3 linked regions of the Drosophila melanogaster genome follow. The protein of the gene in region 2 interacts with the protein of the main gene of each other region in a pairwise test. Each region holds a gene or a part of one and is shown on either strand. Other genes may lie near its edges. The genes, in order: borr, p130CAS and CG11247.

The links.
Region 1: the proteins of p130CAS (region 2) and borr interact in a two-hybrid assay, tested with the Drosophila melanogaster proteins (one large-scale study listed by BioGRID).
Region 3: the proteins of p130CAS (region 2) and CG11247 interact in a two-hybrid assay, tested with the Drosophila melanogaster proteins (one large-scale study listed by BioGRID).

What each region holds. Positions count from the first base shown.
Region 1 is NT_033779.5:9,250,439-9,255,460, reverse strand, and holds borr (borealin-related), read left to right. Parts: upstream 1-2,342; 5' UTR 2,343-2,474; coding exon 2,475-2,826; intron 2,827-3,110; coding exon 3,111-3,519; intron 3,520-3,584; coding exon 3,585-3,783; 3' UTR 3,784-3,989; downstream 3,990-5,022. Other genes in the region: lectin-30A, read left to right, coding at 630-1,301; aust (australin), read left to right, coding at 4,453-4,708, 4,775-5,022. UniProt on the Drosophila melanogaster protein: Component of the chromosomal passenger complex (CPC), a complex that acts as a key regulator of embryonic mitosis.
Region 2 is NT_037436.4:150,201-156,198, forward strand, and holds the start of p130CAS (p130CAS), read left to right. Parts: upstream 1-2,683; 5' UTR 2,684-2,870; coding exon 2,871-3,104; intron 3,105-5,998. Other genes in the region: Dic61B (dynein intermediate chain at 61B), read right to left, coding at 1-96, 149-1,590, 1,648-1,869, 1,923-2,072, 2,141-2,197.
Region 3 is NT_037436.4:21,723,439-21,731,457, forward strand, and holds CG11247 (uncharacterized protein), read right to left. Parts: upstream 5,369-8,019; 5' UTR 5,013-5,368; exon of another isoform or gene 4,955-5,012; 5' UTR 4,849-4,954; intron 3,500-4,848; 5' UTR 3,301-3,499; coding exon 2,725-3,300; intron 2,513-2,724; coding exon 2,117-2,512; intron 2,058-2,116; coding exon 1,461-2,057; 3' UTR 888-1,460; downstream 1-887. Other genes in the region: Polr2H (RNA polymerase II, I and III subunit H), read left to right, coding at 5,755-6,204; CG14570 (uncharacterized protein), read right to left, coding at 6,304-6,990; CG14569 (uncharacterized protein), read right to left, coding at 7,496-8,019.

The sequences.
Region 1 (5,022 bases), on a different chromosome or scaffold from region 2:
GGTGGTAGGTGGTGGGTGTTGGGTGCTTAAACGCACATTTGTAAGTAGTTGTGTAATCTATCCATGAACGTCGCTTCCGCTTTGCATTTTATATGCTCAACGCATCGTTTGGCCGGCGCAAATTGAGTTTCGTTGTCGTTGCTGCTGCTGAAATATCTGCTCTCGGATGGATAGATGGATGGATGGATAGATAGATGTCTGGATGAATGCCTCGGATATATCCCTTTTCCCCACAGCCATCGATTGGTAATGACGTTTGGTAGAGCCCACCCACCTTTAGGTTCATCCACTTTGTGGCTTAAGGCAAGAACGAGCATCAAGCCAATTAAAACTTCTAGCCCATCAACTTAATTAAGAAAAGGCCGAAATTATGCGACTATCATAAAAGTGCGGTGAACGTACGGTATCAAGAAAGATTTTCCTAATTGGTAAGCCATAAATTGTATTAATAAATTTTATTAGTTATACACCTGCTTAGAACGAATAACCTATGTATTTGCCAGACGTTGTAAACCGTTTTCAACGCTTTAATATGCTTTTAGATGCGGATTGTTATTTCATTATACAGATGTTAACATCCAGAAACAGTCCGTTTTAAGGATTGGGACTAGCAGGTCATACATAGTAACATGTTCAAGTATTGTTTTATATGCGTCATTCTAGCCTGGGCTTCTCGTGATGTTCTCGCTAACAAAACGGAAAATCCGCTGCTAATTGATCAAGTGGCTATAAATCAACAACAATGGTTCACATTCATTGCGCTGAAGGAAAGTGAAATGCAACAGAAAATAGTGAGGATCGAAAGATCGATAGAAGAACGATTGATGGCCATGCAAAGCAAGTTGGCATACGCACTGAACGAGCTGCAGACCATAATGGGCAACCAGAGTGTGGAGACTCTCGAGAAACTACGAATCTCGCACAGGATTAATCCGGCGCTTTTCCAGAGAATGGGCACAAGACGCTTCTACATTGAGAAGGAAAACAAACAAAATTGGTTTGGCGCCTCAAACACCTGTCGTCAATTGGGCGGTCACATTGCCACCATCAGGGATGAGCAGGAGTTTAATGAGATCTTCTCAAGAGCGCCGGCCGGCGTCTTTTGGATAGATATGAATGCTATGTTCAAGAACGGCCTTTTTGCATCATCACTCACCGGCAGATCGCCGCCGTTCTTTAAGTGGAAGAAAGAAGAAAGGGGCAATAAGTTCGATTGCGTTAATGTATACAACAAGGAAATGTACAATGAAAATTGTTTCAACACCCATTTGTTCATATGTCAAGCCGAGCAGTGGGATTGATGCGAATGCGAAAATAATAAATTAAGTTATTTTCATTTTGCATCTCGGCAATTTACCGACAGCTTTTAATAAAGTTATGAGCCTACTGTCTTTTTTATTTTACTAGCCCAAAAATGAAGTACATAACTGTTTTCTCAGCCAAGAGGATCATTAAGATTATTGGGTAATGAAAATTAAAATATTTTCCCTTAAGTACAAAACCAGGCCAATCCATATGGGGTTTCCATCAAGTGCCCAGAAAGCGGTGCTTGGTATTTCAAAATGCCTTACACACATGACGTGTCCACGTTCTGTGCAGAAATAAGGGCGGCCAGTGCCACGCCCCTCCACAAGGAAGCCACCCAAATGGTGACAAAAATGCTTTTGATTTGTGGGCCATTCGCACACCCATAGCCACCCACGCTTATTAGAATCCTGCCATTGTGGCAGCCAAAGTGCAACTAGCAGAGACAGATAGCAAACATCCAACAATGTGGAGCAGAGCGCAATTTATGACCAGGGGCGAGATTTCGAAACGGACTAATAGGATTGCGGCTCCAATTTTTGGGGCTTTTCATTTCAGATACCTCCGCACATACGATGCAAAATTATATCTCGAGTTTTCACTTACGTTATTATACGCTCTAGTGTGCAAGTCTTTAGTTTTTCCAATTATTACTATTCAATAATACTAATATACCAATATTGTATTTTGTTATAATAATAAGATGCTATTACCGTTACATTATTAACAAATGGGTAGTTGGAATTCCCCTTTCAAAAATAAAGATATAAAAAAAATCGATCTCTATGTTGTAGGGAACTAGTTCATTGAGATTAGTTGCAGAACTCATTGGAATTATTCAAAACTCATTATTCAAAATATAGATAAATAAATATAGAAGATATATACTTAAATGTGTTATTTTGGAGTGACTTCAGTTAAGTTCGAATTATTTAATTGAATTTACCGCGCATTAGTGTTACCATTTTACACTTACACCATCAAAATATTTCTAGTATTTTCAATCGGTCGTGAACTGGGCAATGAAAAGCCATCTGGCAACACTGTTCCATGACGCTTGAATTTTAGCGGACAAACTCGAAAAGAAATAGCAAAAAGACGACGCTTGCTACGAAAATAGTTATTCCTCGCAAAAACCCTGTAACGTGTAAACAAAGGCCGCTGCCACGATGCCGCGCACCAAGATACCAAAGAACTCCAAACGCAACCGCGAGGTGGCCAATCGCGAAGAGAAGGTGCGCCTGTACGAGCTGAAAATGGATTCCCGCCTTATCAGCATCGATTCGCTGGAGACCAAGTTCCTCTCCGCCGTGGACCACCAGGTGAAGACACTGCTCGGCCAGGTGCAGAAGGAGCTGGCCAATCTGAAGATGCCCGAAGTGCTGCGCCTCTTCGAGGAACTGGACCGCTTCAGCGACTTCAAGGCCAGCGATCAGACGCAGCTGCTCGCCTCGATGTCCATGAGTGGCAGCGCCATCGAGGGCCACGCCCCCTCCGCCACTGGAAGTCGCAATGACGAAGGTTTGTTGGCCTATATATGTATGCTGTTATACCAATCTGCTGGCAAGGATGTCATCACCCGAATTACAAATGAATACCGGTTTTACATGCCAAATTGGCAAATTCCATTGTATATTCGGTATTCATCATACCCTCTTGTTGCCATTTTCACTTTTAATTTTAATCTAACTGGTGTCCGGCTTTGTGACTAACTCAACTTTGCTTTCTAACTCCGCACCGCACATTTCAATGCACGCAAAATGCATATACCCACATCCACATCCTGTGCCGGTCACTGTATCTAGGCTACCTTACAGAGGACAGCAGCATCGGTGCCAGCGGTGGGAGCATCCTGGCCGCCCACACAGGCTCCCTGCTGCGGTCCACGAAGGCCATGCGCACACCCGGACCACTGCACTCGGCGAGGGCTCGTCGAGCGCGGCGCAGTCGTTCCGCCTGCGGGGATCTCAACATATTGCACTCGGCCAAACCGCCGTCAATTTCGAGCAGCAGCAGCAGCAGCCGCAATTCGCGCAGCAAACTGCGCACACCGATGGCCTCGCGTGCGAAGGCCTTCAGTGCCGACCGCACTCCTTTGAAACAGAAGCAAATGCGCTCCGGATCGCCAACTACACCGCCGATGGCATTCCTGCGCTATCCCAAGCCCGGCGAGGTGGCACTATCCAAATACGGCAGTCCCATGGTGGCTCAAGTGTAAGTATTGATCACATACTACGTGTCGATACCAATTTGTTAAAACCATTTTTCCCACACGATAGAATGCCAGACAAGTTCGCCAATGTGAACATACCCATTCGGAACGGAGTTCTTAGCTTGCGGCCCAAAAAACTGGATGCCGACGAGGTGGAGTCAAATCTGTTGGAGAACCTGGACGAGGACACCCTTAACCAGATCAAAACGCTGCACGAGAACTTGCAGATGATTGTTAATAAGGCCAGCCAGGCGGTGTTCAAGTAGCTGTCATTTCAAACGCTTATCTAGATATAATGCTATATCATATATTTTAATACGTTTCGTTTAAGTTCAGTTTTCATTTTACTCATTTAGTTCAAGTATTTTGTCTTTATTCATAAAAATCTATCGTATTTGCATAAGTTTCAATACATGTTCATATCCAAGTGTACGGCGATTTAAATGTAATGTTTTAAATACATGCTTAATCCAAAAAAAAAAAAATGAAGCGTTCCATGATGATTACTCGCCTTCAAGCAAAACGACGGAGAATCGAAAGAGATGAGAAAGTGAGAATCCAATTTAATTCTGCAATGGATAAAGTCGATGAGATGGCCAAGTTGTTCAAGCAGGATGTGGACAACAAATTGGGTTTGCTTCAAGCCAGGACTGATGCTCGTTTGCTGCAGATGAAATGGTCGGATTTCATGGCTCTAGCAAAAACTGCTACCTTCAAATAACATCTTTCTTTTGCTAATTGCAAAAGAGGCAACCGCTTTTAAGTTCCCAGATTTCAGAAAGTGGCCAATAAAATTATGTTATGTTAAAAATGTTTAAAATGTATTTTCGCACGTTGATATGAATACAGTTTTGAATCGCTTGTTCACCAAAGAGCCCTTTGACTTTGTTAGAATTAGGCGATTAGTTGACTGGAATATATAAATCGTTAGAAATATGCCTCGCACCAAGATTACAGCTCGTCGTCAGGCCCAGCGCCAGAAGGCTGATCGCGAAGAGAAAGTGCGCCTGTCCCAAATCAAAATGGATTCGGCTCTGGAGAAGATCGATGAGATGAGCAAGCGCTACAAGCAAGAGGTGGACAACCAAATTAAGGTGATCCGTGGTAGGACTGATAAGCAGCTACTGCAAATGAAGATGCCAGAATTCTTGGCTCTCGGGTTTAAGACTTTTGCCGAATTTCAGAGGGCAGGTGAGATTTAATTTAACTGTCGGCAATAGAAGAGTAATTGTTATTTTTGTTTTACTTTCTTTCCAGCTATTAAGCCGCCCACAACTCGCAGTTTGTCCATCAGTCGTGGTCGAACACGAACTCCGCAGAATGCCCTGCCACCGAGGCTTCAGGCGCATTCGGTGGACAGGGCTCTGAGTGGCGACACCATGAGCTTTGTGCGATGGCCCCGCGCCGGAGAGATGGTGCTCTCGAAGGCGGGAAGCCCGCTGGCCGTCCAGATGCGTCCGGATCGCTATGCGGACGTCCACATTCCCACCAGGGGCGGCGTGATC
Region 2 (5,998 bases):
TGGGTGGGGCTCCACTTGGCCCAATGCACTGGGGTCATCTCGTCTAGCAGTTCGAGAAGAGGTCGCGTGATGCCATCGACCCAAATGCGTACGAACCTGCAGAATAGATACTATCTTTAGCTACCCTTGATAGAGGGCCACTTCCTACCAATCGTTGCCGCAGGTGAGGAAGAGTTTGGGAGACCAAGGCGAGAACTCCATTACGGTGACACCCCCGTCGTGACAACGCAGGACTTCCAAGTACTGATGCTGATAATTGATTGAGCACTTGTGGATGCAGCCCTCATCTGTCAGCACGTAGTAAATGTCCTTGTGCAGAGGATGTGTAGTGATGCTTAAGCCTTGCGGGTGGCGGTTAGACTCGCAGGGGATACGCGACGATGGGTGAACGAAAATGCCCTCAGGATGCCCCTCGACTCGCTCCAGAATCATTTGGGTAAAACCAAGCAGGAAGGGACTTTTGATAATCCGGAAGCGGGTGACCGAGCCATCCTGGGAGAGGCTCAGGAATGGATCGATGTCTGTTTCATGATCGTCGTCTGAAACTTGTTTGATCCAGCGGATGGCAACCACCGGCGAGGAGCCTGGCGAAGTGCTGCGCTGCGAGACCGCAACGGGTGTGTCCTGCAAACTGCTCACATCTCGCACTTCCACGCTGCCGTCGTACAGACCAATGGCGAGCAAGGATGGCAAGAATGGCGAGAAGTTTATTGCCGTTACTGGCACATCGTAGTAGTATGCGCGCTCCGGCTCGCCTGGATTTTTAATGCTCCACAGGAAAACGCTGCCGGAGGTCGGTACGTGCTGTGAGGAAAATGAGTACAGTCCGTAGGCTACAGCCAGGATGTCACCATTGCTGCGGCAGAAATCAATGTCGCTTACGGCCTTGCGCTCGTCTTTGCTGGGCTCCGGTACCAGCCGAAAGAGCAAGTTCATCGAGTAGACGTACTCGGCCTCCGCGTTCCAGCGTTCCACCTGGTCAAAGTTACGGAAGCGTCGTAACCCCGCCTCGTTTGTGTTGCTCGAGAGCGTGCGGCCCATGTACATGATGGCGTTGCGAAACTCGGGGCTCCGGAACAGGCGCTCTATCTGGCTGCTGACCTTGTCTTTTTCGGCAACGGCCTCGTCGTCCTCAAAGGTATCCGCATCCTCCGTCTGCGCTAGAGCCGAGGTCAGGTCCTTTACCGAACTCATAGTGGCTGTTGCGAACTCCTTGGTGATATTGTTCAGCGTGTCGTACATCTCAAAGTTGGAAACGTAAGAGCTGACGGTGGCCTTGGTTATGAGGATGGTGTTGACTGCCCGAGTGGTGAAGAGCAGAGTATCTGTCTGAGCGTCATTGTCTGAGCGCCGGCGAATTTTGCCTTTCCCTATTGTCAGATACTCGTAGTTTCGGTTGTCTCGCTCCGCATCGTCGCCCTCGGGCGATCCCTTGGCCACCGTCGTCTGCGTCTGGCTGTGAATTTCGAAGAAGTCAGACTTGCGTAAGGTGATCTTTAAAAAGGACTTGGTATACGGCTTTGGCTCGTACGCCTCTTCGAGAGCCTCAACAGTGCTGTACGGTTCCCAGTTAATAGTTTCATAAAGTATCTAGTGGAGAATGACGATTCCCGCTGGGATGATACAAAAAAGTTTATATAAACTTACCCCGTTCATCAGGTCGTCAATGGACTGCTTATTGCCGCCTATTCCGGCCCGAACACTAGACCGCGTGCGGGATCTGGTCGTGCTCTTCGCTACCATTGTAGTGAAGTTAGTCATTTGGTGCATGACATTTAGGTTGTACTTCATGAACTGCTCCACATAGGTGTCATCTTGGATCGACTTAGGTGTCATATCAACCTCCTCGCCATAGATCTTTTCCAAAACCTAAGGGGAGTTTGCAATTAGTGGTGGTGAGTTTGTAAGTCCTTTGGGTTCACCTTTATCTGAGATCGATACTGCAGGTCGGCAAGTGTTTCCACACTGTAATAGTGCGTAGTATCTTTCTTCTTAGCCTTAGACTCTTCGGCTTGTGTCTGATTAACCACCACGGACTTCTTTTTGAGTTCGTTGTCTAAGTTACTGGACCGCTTTTTGACGCGTGGGGAACGGTGTTCTATGTAAGAAGTGCAAATTAGATCTTCCAGTAATTACTTACTTTAAAGATACTCCCATTTTCTTGGCTAGTGACTGTATTTCTTACTGACGCGGACATGACTTGTATTTTGTTATGTACTCCTCTTGATTTCGTCCAAATTTTTAATGAGTATTTTGTTATTTTATTATTTTGAGGGCACTGGTTTCTGGTAATACATATGTTTTAACTGCTGATATAACTTTTTTTTACCAAACATTAGTTTCATAGTGTACTTATCTTTCTTTAAAGATTTAAAATGTAATCAAAAACTGAAATGCTTGGAAATCAATTTAAAAAATTAATATTGTGTAATATTAAATTTGAAGTTTAAAAACTCCGAATACCACGAATTTTTACCGTACGGTAACGAAAGGGCTTTGTGCTACTTAACAGGAGCACTCTCTTACTCTCCGTTTCCGTGAGCGTTTTTTACCGAGCTCCCCCTGCGCCTGCTCGTTAGATAATACCGAAATAAAGTTGTCAACCAAGCCACCCTCTGTGGGCGAAGGACGACCGGCTGCCTTTTGAGGTTGCATATGGTTGAGTTAGTTAGATTCGGAGTCGCCAGCCATGCAAACCTGGTTCACACTCGCGTCCGTAATCGTGCTTTTGTTTGGGATGTATTCCAATGTGTAGAGATTCGATTTCTCAATGTAGGTCTGCTTATTTTTTGGTACGCTCCTGATATGAAAAAAACTTGCGGCAGCATCAAAATCTAAAAGGCATCTAACCTAACAAGAGCTAACAATTAATGGAGTGTCAAAGTGAAAACCGAGTACCAGAAAACTCAATTAGTAATGTTGCAACGTACCATACTCTGCCCGAATCCCAAACCTCATCGGTTTTGGCCAAGCATCAGCAGCGACAGCTGAAAGAACCGCAACAGCCGCCGCAGTACGTTATAAATTCAGTGGCAATGCACGCCAAGACGACCACGGCGAACTCCATCACGGGCGGCACACTGCATCGGGCAAAAAGTGCGCAGGTACGTCCAGAATGTTATAAATTAAATGGATAGTATCCGAGGAAGTGGATCGAAGTAAAGCGATGTGATCGCGATGCTTATTGGAGGTAAACCTATTTGACAGGAATTGATATTGACTGCCAACTAGGTGCGCTTAATCGGTGGGGAAACTGGATTTATATATTTGTCCATGGATAATTCAAATCATTCATATTGTTTTTCGGTATCTCAAATCGTTCCGTTAAAAACTTTTGTGCTCTGTACAGGTGTAACAAACTCTTACTATTTTTTACATTTACTACATTTCGGCAAGTAAAATCTGTTACAGCCAAATTCATCGAACGACCCTCTTCCACACGCCATTGCCTGGTTCGACGCGAGTGCAAAAACGAATTTTACTCAGCGAAGCTACACAGATACATACAGATTATGGATACGCAGGGTGCGTAACGTAAACTAACGCTGTAATACTGTTTCTGCCGGCTAACCAAGCTGGGACGGCTAAGTGGCTAAATGGCTACAGGACCATCGGGCCTAAATGCAGCTTCATGGAGGCCGCATGCGTGCAGAGAGAATCGGGCGATGTGCCCATGTTATGTAAACATATTCGGCAGGAAGATAGGGCAGGGTGGACCTCGAGTCGTGACGAAGCAAAAGTCAGGGATCTGGCTAAGGCTGCTGGCTGACTGATTCCCGTGGAGAGTAAGGGTCGTCAGGTGGTGGTGGCTTCTGTGCGTCGCGTCATTCATCAGACGCTCCATGATGTGAAACAAATTCGCCTGGGGAGGCATTGGATGCTTAAGTGAGGTGCTAAAGTTAAGCTGCCAACTTCAATGATGTGGTACTTGACCAGCTACCGATTCAGAAATGTATCTTTTGATTTCGCTGTCAGTTCTACCCTTGTATATATGTATGTATGTATGCTTTCAATTTTATTTGCTCGCGAAAGTTGCTATACGATTTTTCAATGCCAATATGAGAACTGCTATCGACCTTGCCGGGGGTATGAACTTTCCGCAATTAAACCTCACCGGGGTGGTTGTTCTCTGTTCTTTTTCCCGCCACCGAACCACGCTTCGTTCTTTTCCTTAAGCAACATGTTTGGTTACTGAGAGCACTTTTTGCTGAATTTTTCCGAGTGCCGTGCTCCAAGAGCAAGTTGCTCGGAAACATCTGGAGGGTTTAATCAATCTTTGGTGTCCTGACGAGCCGCGAACAATGTTTTGTCAAGTACAAAGGAAGGGAAGATTCTTCTGATCTGATCTGTCATGATAATGGGATGCATTGAAAATGGCCCCAAAAAAAAACTGTTAAAGCAGAAGTTCGTAATTCTAAATCATTTTATGACGATATTGATATATATTAATATATATTTAAATTGCAAAAAGCCCCTAATCAACGTTTTGATGTCTTTTATCTGGCTACTGTGGCTGCCTGTACACAATTTAAAATTTTTGCTGGCACATTTTATTATTACAAATGGCACTTTGGAGAATTGTGTACCACGGATTTTGTAAGCGGCGCTCTAATGATTTATGAATTTATTCAATGACAATTGGCAAGTTGAGCCAAAGTGCTTTTAGCTGGTGAAGCGGACCGGTCATTGAGCCTCGGAACCACTTCATTCGTGGCTGGGAATTGAAATGCACAGAGGAAGAGTTTGAGTTCGCAGTAGTTCACAGTTAGTTCACTGGTGGCCGTCATAGGCGCCAACATATTTTGTTCTTGCATTTAAATTATGAGCTCTGCCATTATGCATCAATCGTTAATCCAGCGGCGGTTAAAAGCAGCACAAAAAGAAAAGACAGTATCTATAACCAACACAGAATAAACAACAATAAAGAAAGTGGAAAGCCGGGAAAAACGTGCGCTGAAAAGTGAAGAATTTAAGTGTACGTGTTGAAAATTCCTCAATTTGTTGTCTGAGAATGAGTATAATTATTTGTGTGTTTCCAGCGGTGGCTTTATTCACCGCGTTCTTTTCCCTGCTAAGACATATTCTTTGGTAACGTGACGGTAGCGAAACTATCTGTTATATGCACACAAAAATAACATTGTGCATCCTCAGTTTTAAGAACTACGTTTTCATGCGAAAATGGTTTTTGATTAAATAACTCCTTAAGTTTTATAGGACTTAAATTGGCAAGTCCAAGAAAAATCATGAAATCACACGCGGTTTCAAAAATCACTTAACCCTGTTGACGTAAATATTTTTCCAGTCCCAGCACTGGATATATCTTCTTTTGCAACATTCGTGCTGCACATGGCAAATATGTATATGATTATTGGTGTCTCGAAGAGATATATCCACTCATTCTAGTCGCCCGGTTTCCCACTCCTCTGAACTTAAAATAATTTATGCAGTTTGGGGACAGCTTTTCCTGGGCAGACTAAAGCGTTGCGGCATTCAATAAATTGCTCTTAAATTATGGAAATGCAGAGCAGCCGAGATTTATTGAGAAGTTTCTAGAGGTGGGGAAAATGTGTATTTTTGGATAGGCTGTATATACGTATTGAGTAAATTCCGATAAACTTAATGTGTATGTCTTAAACCGAAAGCATCGTCATTTTGAGATTATCATCGATCTATGAATACTATGAATTTTTCACATCCCAAATTCTGCCTTTATTGCTGACCCATTAATCCAAATATATCAGATGGCGTCGTTTATATCTCATTGCAGATCAATTGGGCTATTTGGTCGGAATCTTTTTGGTTTCGGGGTCGCCCACGTTTGGCCCCGTATTTCAATTTGACGTTTCTTCAGGTTTGGTAACTGCATTGTCTTAGATCACGCTTTGACCTTATAAACTGGAGGAGCAGGGGTCGCTGGAGAGAGATGATGGACAAAGAGAACACACCAAATATGTTAGATTCATAAATTTTCCAAAAACCTAAACACAATGTTTTGAAT
Region 3 (8,019 bases), about 22 Mb from region 2:
TACATCTCGTGGCCAAGCAAATCCTTTGGGTTGACACTAACGGTCGCGTCAATAAATTCGCCGTGCAAATTTCATTAATTGCTCCGGGTGGGTGGAAGGTGGCGGACCGGAGGAAGTGGCGCGGGCAGGTGCCACAGCGCCTGCAGATGCCACCGCTGCTCAGAGAGCTCGGTTCGCATGCAGTGCGGGGCTTGCCATAAAAAATATTGGCCACCTTAATGTAAGTGGCTTATAAATTTGTGCACAAGCCCAGACCATTTATGGCCAACGGGCAGGGACCCATGGGGCACTTGTACCTAACTGTTTATGTGGTTAGATGCCAGCCCGGTTGGGTGTGCCTGGGTGTTTCTGTGCGACTCGTTGCTCTTTTGGCCGCATTCAAATATGGAATGCAGCTTCCAGCCGGACTTGAAATTCCATAGATGAGCCTCAAAGGTCAAAGGCACGCAAGCCAGGAGATGCAGAAAATTGATTGATTCAAGCCGTGTCGCTTCCTAAGATGCTAGTCGAGATCCTCAACTTCCAGACACCAGCTACAGCAAGATCGAAAGTTGACTGAAATAATATGTAAGGCCTTTGCCATTTGTTGTAGACGGCCAAAATCCTTTTGGAATAAACATAGAAACTTTCAATAATAATAATAAAAACCAAAATTATTAAATTAATATTAATATATTCAAAAGTGTGGGAGCAGCTTTGTGGGATAGTGGACGTGCTCACTCTTAGTTAAGGGAATGTGTTCTTTTTATCATTCGTTCTCATAAACTTTCTCTAACTCTTACGTAAGCTCGCAGACTTACGAAATCTTAAAAATAAGCGAAAATAATACTTGCTGCAAATTGTTTCATGATTAAAAAGTCCGAAAAACTAATATCCAGTGTTGGGTTGTAGTCACAAATAATATTTATTATTCATTTCATTTTTTCACTTGCGTATTTTGATTTGCATTTCAGTTGTACACTTCAGATTTTGCACTTTTGTTGGAAAAGACAAATGGCAACTAAATGCATTAAGCTTATTAATTTTACAAGCATGGCCACAATGAGTTGTATTGTACTTGAGCTGTTATAGATTCACTCCGGGACAATCTGTTGCTCTGGCAAGACTAAGCATACAAAAATATTTCAGGTTTCAATCGTGTTATGCCTATTATTTTATAAATTATTGCATCGAAATTCGTTCTTAAACTAATTTCCTTTAATAGGGAAATTATTATGACAACACTAACTCATACATTCTTCAAATTATACTTTTTGGTAGCAGCAAAATTGGGATTAAGGGTAGTAATTCATTAAAATGACCTGTACTACAAAGTATATATCTTTGGGATAAATTATTTGGTTGGGTTTCGTTCTGCAACTTTGGGTTACTAAACACTAAACTAAATGGCAAGAACTAGTTCTACAAATCCTTCTTCTATGGCACACTCGCATTTGGCGTTGGCTATCAACTCCTGGATTCTACTTCTGTTTCATATACATGGTAGCAATTTTCTCAAGAATCGTGTCTATAGACAACAATTCGTCGCTGAATTTCTGCATAGTGGGGGCTGGCACAATCCACTTAAGAAATTCCTCCACATTTAGCCGGAGTCTGGCCAATGGGGTCATCGTGGCGTCGTCATGGGATTGTCGCTGAGCCAGCTTCAAGGATGCAATGATAACGTTATCGATTAGACGCTTCTCGTAGCCCAACTGGCGCAGCTTTTGAGCGGAGCTAATTTTCTTCAGTACCACTGCCATGTTAAATCTTAAGACAGAGAGAATTTGCGCATCTTCAGACTGATTGCCACTGGGTTTGTCCCCGTCAACTGGACACTTGGCGCAGTGCTCAACATGCGACTGCAGCTCCACCTTGATCTTAAAGAAATCGTGGCAGCCTTCGCACATGTAGGGCTTTTGCTGTTTGTGTATCTTCTTCATGTGGTTCTTTAGGTGCGCCAGCTGAGAAAAGGCTACTTCGTCTTCGCACAGCTGGCAGCGAAAGGGTTTTTCCCCCGTATGCTTTCGGATGTGCAGTTTTAGTACGCTTGAATGGGCAAAGGTCTGGTGGCAGATCTGATGGAAGTAGAAACATAATTTACGGCTGCATGCAAGCTAACACCCTTTCAACTTACCCTACACTGATAGGGGCGCTCTCCCGTGTGCATTCGCATATGGACATTGTACTGGCTTTTCTGGGTGAAATATGTGTTGCACACCTCGCAGACGTGGGTCTTAACAGCGGTGTGCCTCTGCATGTGAGTGGCCAAATCCTCGTCCGGCTCGATCATCTTATGGCATATCTCGCACTCAAATTGCGTCAGCTTGTGGTGCTCCTGGTTTATGTGCGCTCGCAGGGCCAGCTCGTTGGCGAATTGGTTCTCACAGATGCTGCACCGGTGCTCCATGCCCTGCTCGTGTCGCTCCATGTGCACCCGTAAATTGGCGTTGGTTGAGAAGCTGGCCGAGCACTTAGTGCAGTTGAACTGCTGGATACTCGTCTTGTGGTGAGAAACCATGTGCTGTTGCAGCTGCAATATAAATGATAATATATATTAGGAACACCAATGGTTAAGACCTATAAAAACAAAAGCCTAATAGAAAGTTCATTATTAAATACACTTATTTATATTTAATTATTATAATAAATATTATTATTTAAGTTTATAATAAATCAAATTATGAGAAAAATATAAAATTAATTGTTAAATCTCAGTTAAAAATGGAATGTCGTATTACTCACTTGACCTCCTCGGGCGAATTTTTTGTCGCAGAGGTCGCAAGGATAGGGCTTCTCGCCAGAGTGGAGGCGCATGTGGAGCCGCAGGCGCTCCTTGAGGGCGAATGATTTTGGGCACTGGGAACAAACGAACTGTTTCCGATGCTCGTGGGCGGTGGTGATATGATTTTTCAGGTTGACCGCCTGGCGGTAGCTCTTGCCACAATCCTTGCACTTGTGCGGTCGTTCGTCCGAGTGGATAAGCATGTGGCGCTGCAGATCCGTCTTGCCACCGAACTCTTTGGAGCATTGACTGCAGACATGGTGCTTGCGTTTCACCGGTTCGCCCTTTCGGGCAGACTTCTTAAGCTGCGGTTGCACGTAATCATCATCCTTTGAGTCCTGCTCTCCGCCGTCGTCCTCCTCCTCGTCCACACAAGCATCGCGCAGACTTGCCAAGCTGCTCTTCCTCCTTTTGATCGCAAGCGTAGGGCCTGGTGAGGATTCCCTCGCCGCCGGCGGCGAAGACAGCGATATGCCGCTGTCTGTGAGCAGAGAGACGGCATCCTCCTTGGACACACTACGACGGCTGCGTACCATTTGTTTGGTTTTTATTATTTGGATTCGTAACTAAATTTCTGGGGACCGCTTCCTGGGAAACACCGGCACCTGCTGCGTTTGTCTTTACTTCTAGGGTTAATGTTCTACGTATGTAATTTAGGGTATTCGTATTTTTTGGTTCGATTGCTACTTCTAGGATAGTTCCCATTCACCTTTGGTTTGGATTAGTTCAGATGGGCTGCAAAAAAAGTTAAGAGCTGTTTTAATTCTCCACTCGCCGAGCGCCACGTTCCGAAGCAGACGGAGAATCAAAAACACAGACAGAAATAGTAACCGCAAGTGAAGCCGAAACAGAAACAAGAAGAGAAACAGCAACGGAACAGAAACTCCAGCTGTGTCAACAGTGATAAGACCTATGCACAGGAAAAATATTACCAAAATTGGTGGATTTGCATATTTAGGGGCTTCGAAAAGCATGGCACTTTTTACGTTAATGCAATAGTTCTTACTATTTTTGCAGTGTTGTCGAAATCACTTGAGATTTTTAGACGTTGTTTATCATAATTAATTAATTAATTGCAATTCATTGGCTATCCAATTAGAAAATATATTCGTTTCTTTACAAATCTAGTTAACAACGGAAGGTTGTGGACTGTTTTTCACGGTGTACAGAGCTAGGAGCCCAAGTCTTGAAGTGGGTCGCATTATCAATTGACATTTCCAGCGAACGTAAGCTTCCAAAAAAAATTCTTAGTTTGTTGTCTTAATCTTTTGTTTGGGCGGGAGCGAGATGGAGAAACCGCCTGATAAGATCCCGAGGAAGGCAACAACTGATAAGCAATCCACCGCTTTCACTAAAATCACGGTAGAGCTATAAAAAGATATCGAGATAAAGCTGTGCAACCTGAGCGTTTTCGATCCCGCGGCGTCTGTTCTCCGAGGCGGCGGAGTTTCCAATGAAAAGCGAGAACACTGAAAATGCAACTGCAAGAGAGCGATTACGATGACCCTGGGCTGGGACGAACATCTGGCAAGCAGATTGGGAACCCTCCGATTCCGATTCCAGTGCCAAGCAACCCCCTCCCCCTGCGGAGGGTTAATGGTTCATTAGAGCCGCACCCGCAGAAGCTGAAAACTAACTCACTTTAGCAGCACAACGGCCCTCGACCAAACTGTTGAAAAAGCGAATTTAAGCTAGAATCCGCAGCTGGGAATCGAAATTGAAAGAGAACAGGGCAAAAAGCACGAACGACAGCGAAAATCACACACAAAAAGCGAAAATAAAGAAGTGAATACATAACAGCAGTTTTGTAATGCTAAATAGGCGGGGTTATGGGGGTGGGTAAGGGTTAAGGCGGCGGCGGTCGCTGGATGAGGGTAGGGGCCGTTGAAGTCTTTCGTATTCGGGGCACAAAACTCGACGACTGTGTAGTTTTCGGGGTCTTGCAACCGATTGTTAGTAATTAATGAACCAGCACCACAGCACTCATATACGTAAAGCAATCCATTATACACATATGCTACACATTTGGCCCAGGGGCTCCACATTCAACACCAACACCAAAGCCCCACCGGGCGTGGACTTACCTTCGCAAAAAGCAGGAGTCGCTAGGCTAAGGGCCTTCGATCCACAGGAAACTTAGCATCACCCCGAATGGGACACACCTGGACTTCCTATGCATTCCGCGTCCGACTATGAGTTCGCTTCTTATTTGTTTTTAATTTCGACACCACGAGCTGTGTGTACATACTTTTTGCAATCCGCTAGGTGGCAGTCCGACTGGCTCCTCAAGGTGTATCCATCGTGCTGCCTGCGGCTTAACCTTTGTGGGACTTTGCGGGTTTGCCGATTCTAAGCCAATACTGCGTTTTGTCCAGCAAAATAAATAACAGTTTTCGGTGGTTTTTCGATGTTGTTCTTAATGTTAGTGATGTGTATTCACCGATAGACGGTCACACTGGGACTCTCTGTCTGCGCGGCCACAGATGGGAGCGTGATGCACAGTCACTAGTTAGAGAAAATCCAATAACGTGTAGGTTGCGGCGCAATAAGTTATAAATAAGTTAAAAATCACATTGCGCAGTATCACTGCAATATTTATTGAAATTTCAGTAAGAACAAAGTGAGGCACACTTTGTTGAACGTGACTTCTTTTACACACTGAAATCACAGCCTGCTGAACGTGACCACTTTGCTCACTGAAATCGCAGACGTGTGGCAACACTCAAGCCGCCAGAAAGATCTGGCATCTCTCATACTTAACACGCGCATGCAAAATATTTAAGAAATAAATATTAGTCGCTAACAGTTTAAATATAATAAAATTCTGCTGATATAAACCCAGTTCATAAAAGAACACGCATTTACCTCCGCATATAAGATCAAATACGTATAAAATCTAATTAGCCGACTCAAGGTAAGGCGTGCGTTTTTGGAGCTCCACTAAACTGACTTCAAAGCAATAACTCATCAAATACTACATTTCAGTTAAAATGGCTGGAGTACTCTTTGAGGACATCTTCAACGTAAAGGACATGGATCCGGAGGGCAAAAAGTTCGACCGTGTATCCCGCCTGCACTGCGAGTCCGAGTCGTTTAAGATGGACCTCATCCTGGACATCAACTCGTGGCTATACCCCATGGAGCTGGGCGACAAGTTCCGCCTGGTTTTGGCCACCACCCTGCGCGAGGATGGTTGCCCGGACAGCGGGGAGTACAATCCAATGGAGCACGAGGGAACGCGGGCGGACAGCTTTGAGTACGTGATGTACGGCAAGATCTACAGGATCGAGGGCGACGAAGCACACAATGAGGCCTCCCGGCTCTCCGCCTACGTGTCATTCGGCGGCTTGCTGATGCGACTTCAGGGTGACGCCAACAATCTTCATGGCTTCGAGGTGGACCAGCACATGTACCTGCTGATGAAGCGGCTGGCCTTCTGAATTTTCTACCTAATTATTTTCGATCGCAAATTAGACATAGACAACAAACTTTATTTACAGTGTATTCATGACATTGCTTGGAGTGCTGAAAGAAGTAGTCTATTGCCTGGATGGGCGTCTGAAAGGCGCATTGACTATCAGGCGAGATGGCCGTGGGCGAAAAGGAATGTGGCGATCCACGAAGGGCAAAGCCTGCGGAGTCGATGGGAACACTGGAGTAGGCCTAATAGCATTCACAATCTTGACCGCATCTGGCCGACGACGAACCGTAAGCTTAGCCGGCCGTCGCTGCGGAGTCCGCAGAACCGGACGCTGCGGGCGGAAGGCAGAAAGTCGGTTCAGAAGCGGCAGAACATACTGAGCCTGGGGTGGTAGCGGCAGACTTGCCAAATTAATTATAGCTGCGCTTTGTGGCAATGTGTTGGAGCTGTCATCATTGGCTGGCTGGTCTGGAGGTCCGTAGGTCTGATCGGGAGGTCCATAAATTTGGTCCGGTGGGCCGTAGACCTCAGCTGGCGCTTCCACCAAAGACGGTGGTCCGTATGTTTCAGGTGGAGGGCCATATGTATCCTCCGGTTGAGGAAATTCAACCGCCTCCTCCGTTGGCAGGTCGAATGGCGGATCGGGGACCAGGCCTGCTGGTGGATATGGGGCTTGTTCCTGTCTTTGCAGAAACCTTCCCGCCGCGGGTCCTGGGAACCTCAGATGACTGCCTTCAATTCCATTCAGGCAAAGAATGGAACAAAGCGCAAAGGTGACCAGAGAAGCACTTGGATAACCGGACATTGTGGTGTGCTGACATGAACTGCTGCATGGGCGGCTAAGTGGCGCCTATAAATACCCCCTAGGAATGCCCTTGGGAACTGCCCAATTCAAACGCCCGAAGAAACCTCGAGGCCGATGACTTATAAGCCAGGTCCAACGATACGTGCCCATGGAGGTGGTGACTAAGGCGCGTGTAAGTACTGGCTGTTATGAAAATGTGTGGTTAGATTTCTTTAAAAGGGAGTGCTTATACAAAATAATTGTATATTATTTTTACACAGGAATAAAAAAAATAATAAATATAACGCTTTCCTATTAGTTTCAGTATGGATTTCATTTTAAATTGAATTTTGTAAGTAATATTTTGTAAATATATTTTCTGTGTACGGTGAGTGCATGATATCGTTAGAATAGATTCCAGCCCTGTATCAAAGACACTAGAATAATTATTCTAGAGTCTTTGCCTGTATGATATTTCCTTAAGTCTGACGCAGTGACGTATTTGCTTACGCTAAAGTTTTAAAGTCTACCAACTGCGACGCAGGATTAGACGCTGAGGAACGGGCCTCTGGGAACGCCGTCCTTGCGGAAATCGCTGGTAGAGTCGGGCGGACTGGACGGACTGTGGCTGGTCAAGACTGCTAGCTACAACGATCACAGTGCCATCCTCAGCAACATCCAGCTGCGGTTCATCCTCCTCGGCGTCCTCATCAGCGGGCTGCAGCTTGGCACCGTCAACCGATGCTTCCTCAGTCTCTGGAATATCATCAGTCTCGATGGGATTCTCTGGTAGCGGCTCAGCCTCGGGAGCAATAGCCGGCACGGAGTCGGTCTCTGGAGGTCCATAAGTGTTATCTGGTGGCCCGTATGTGTTGTCCGGAGGTCCATAGGTGTTATCAGGCGGCAGATAAGTGTTCTCCGGCTTGACAGTCGAACTGGGTAAATCGAAGGGAACACTCGGGGTGATGCCCGCCTCCGGATATCCGGTGGGCGAAGGACTGGGTATAGCCTCCACTTGGCGCGCCAAGAACCTCCGGCGGATCGGCTCCG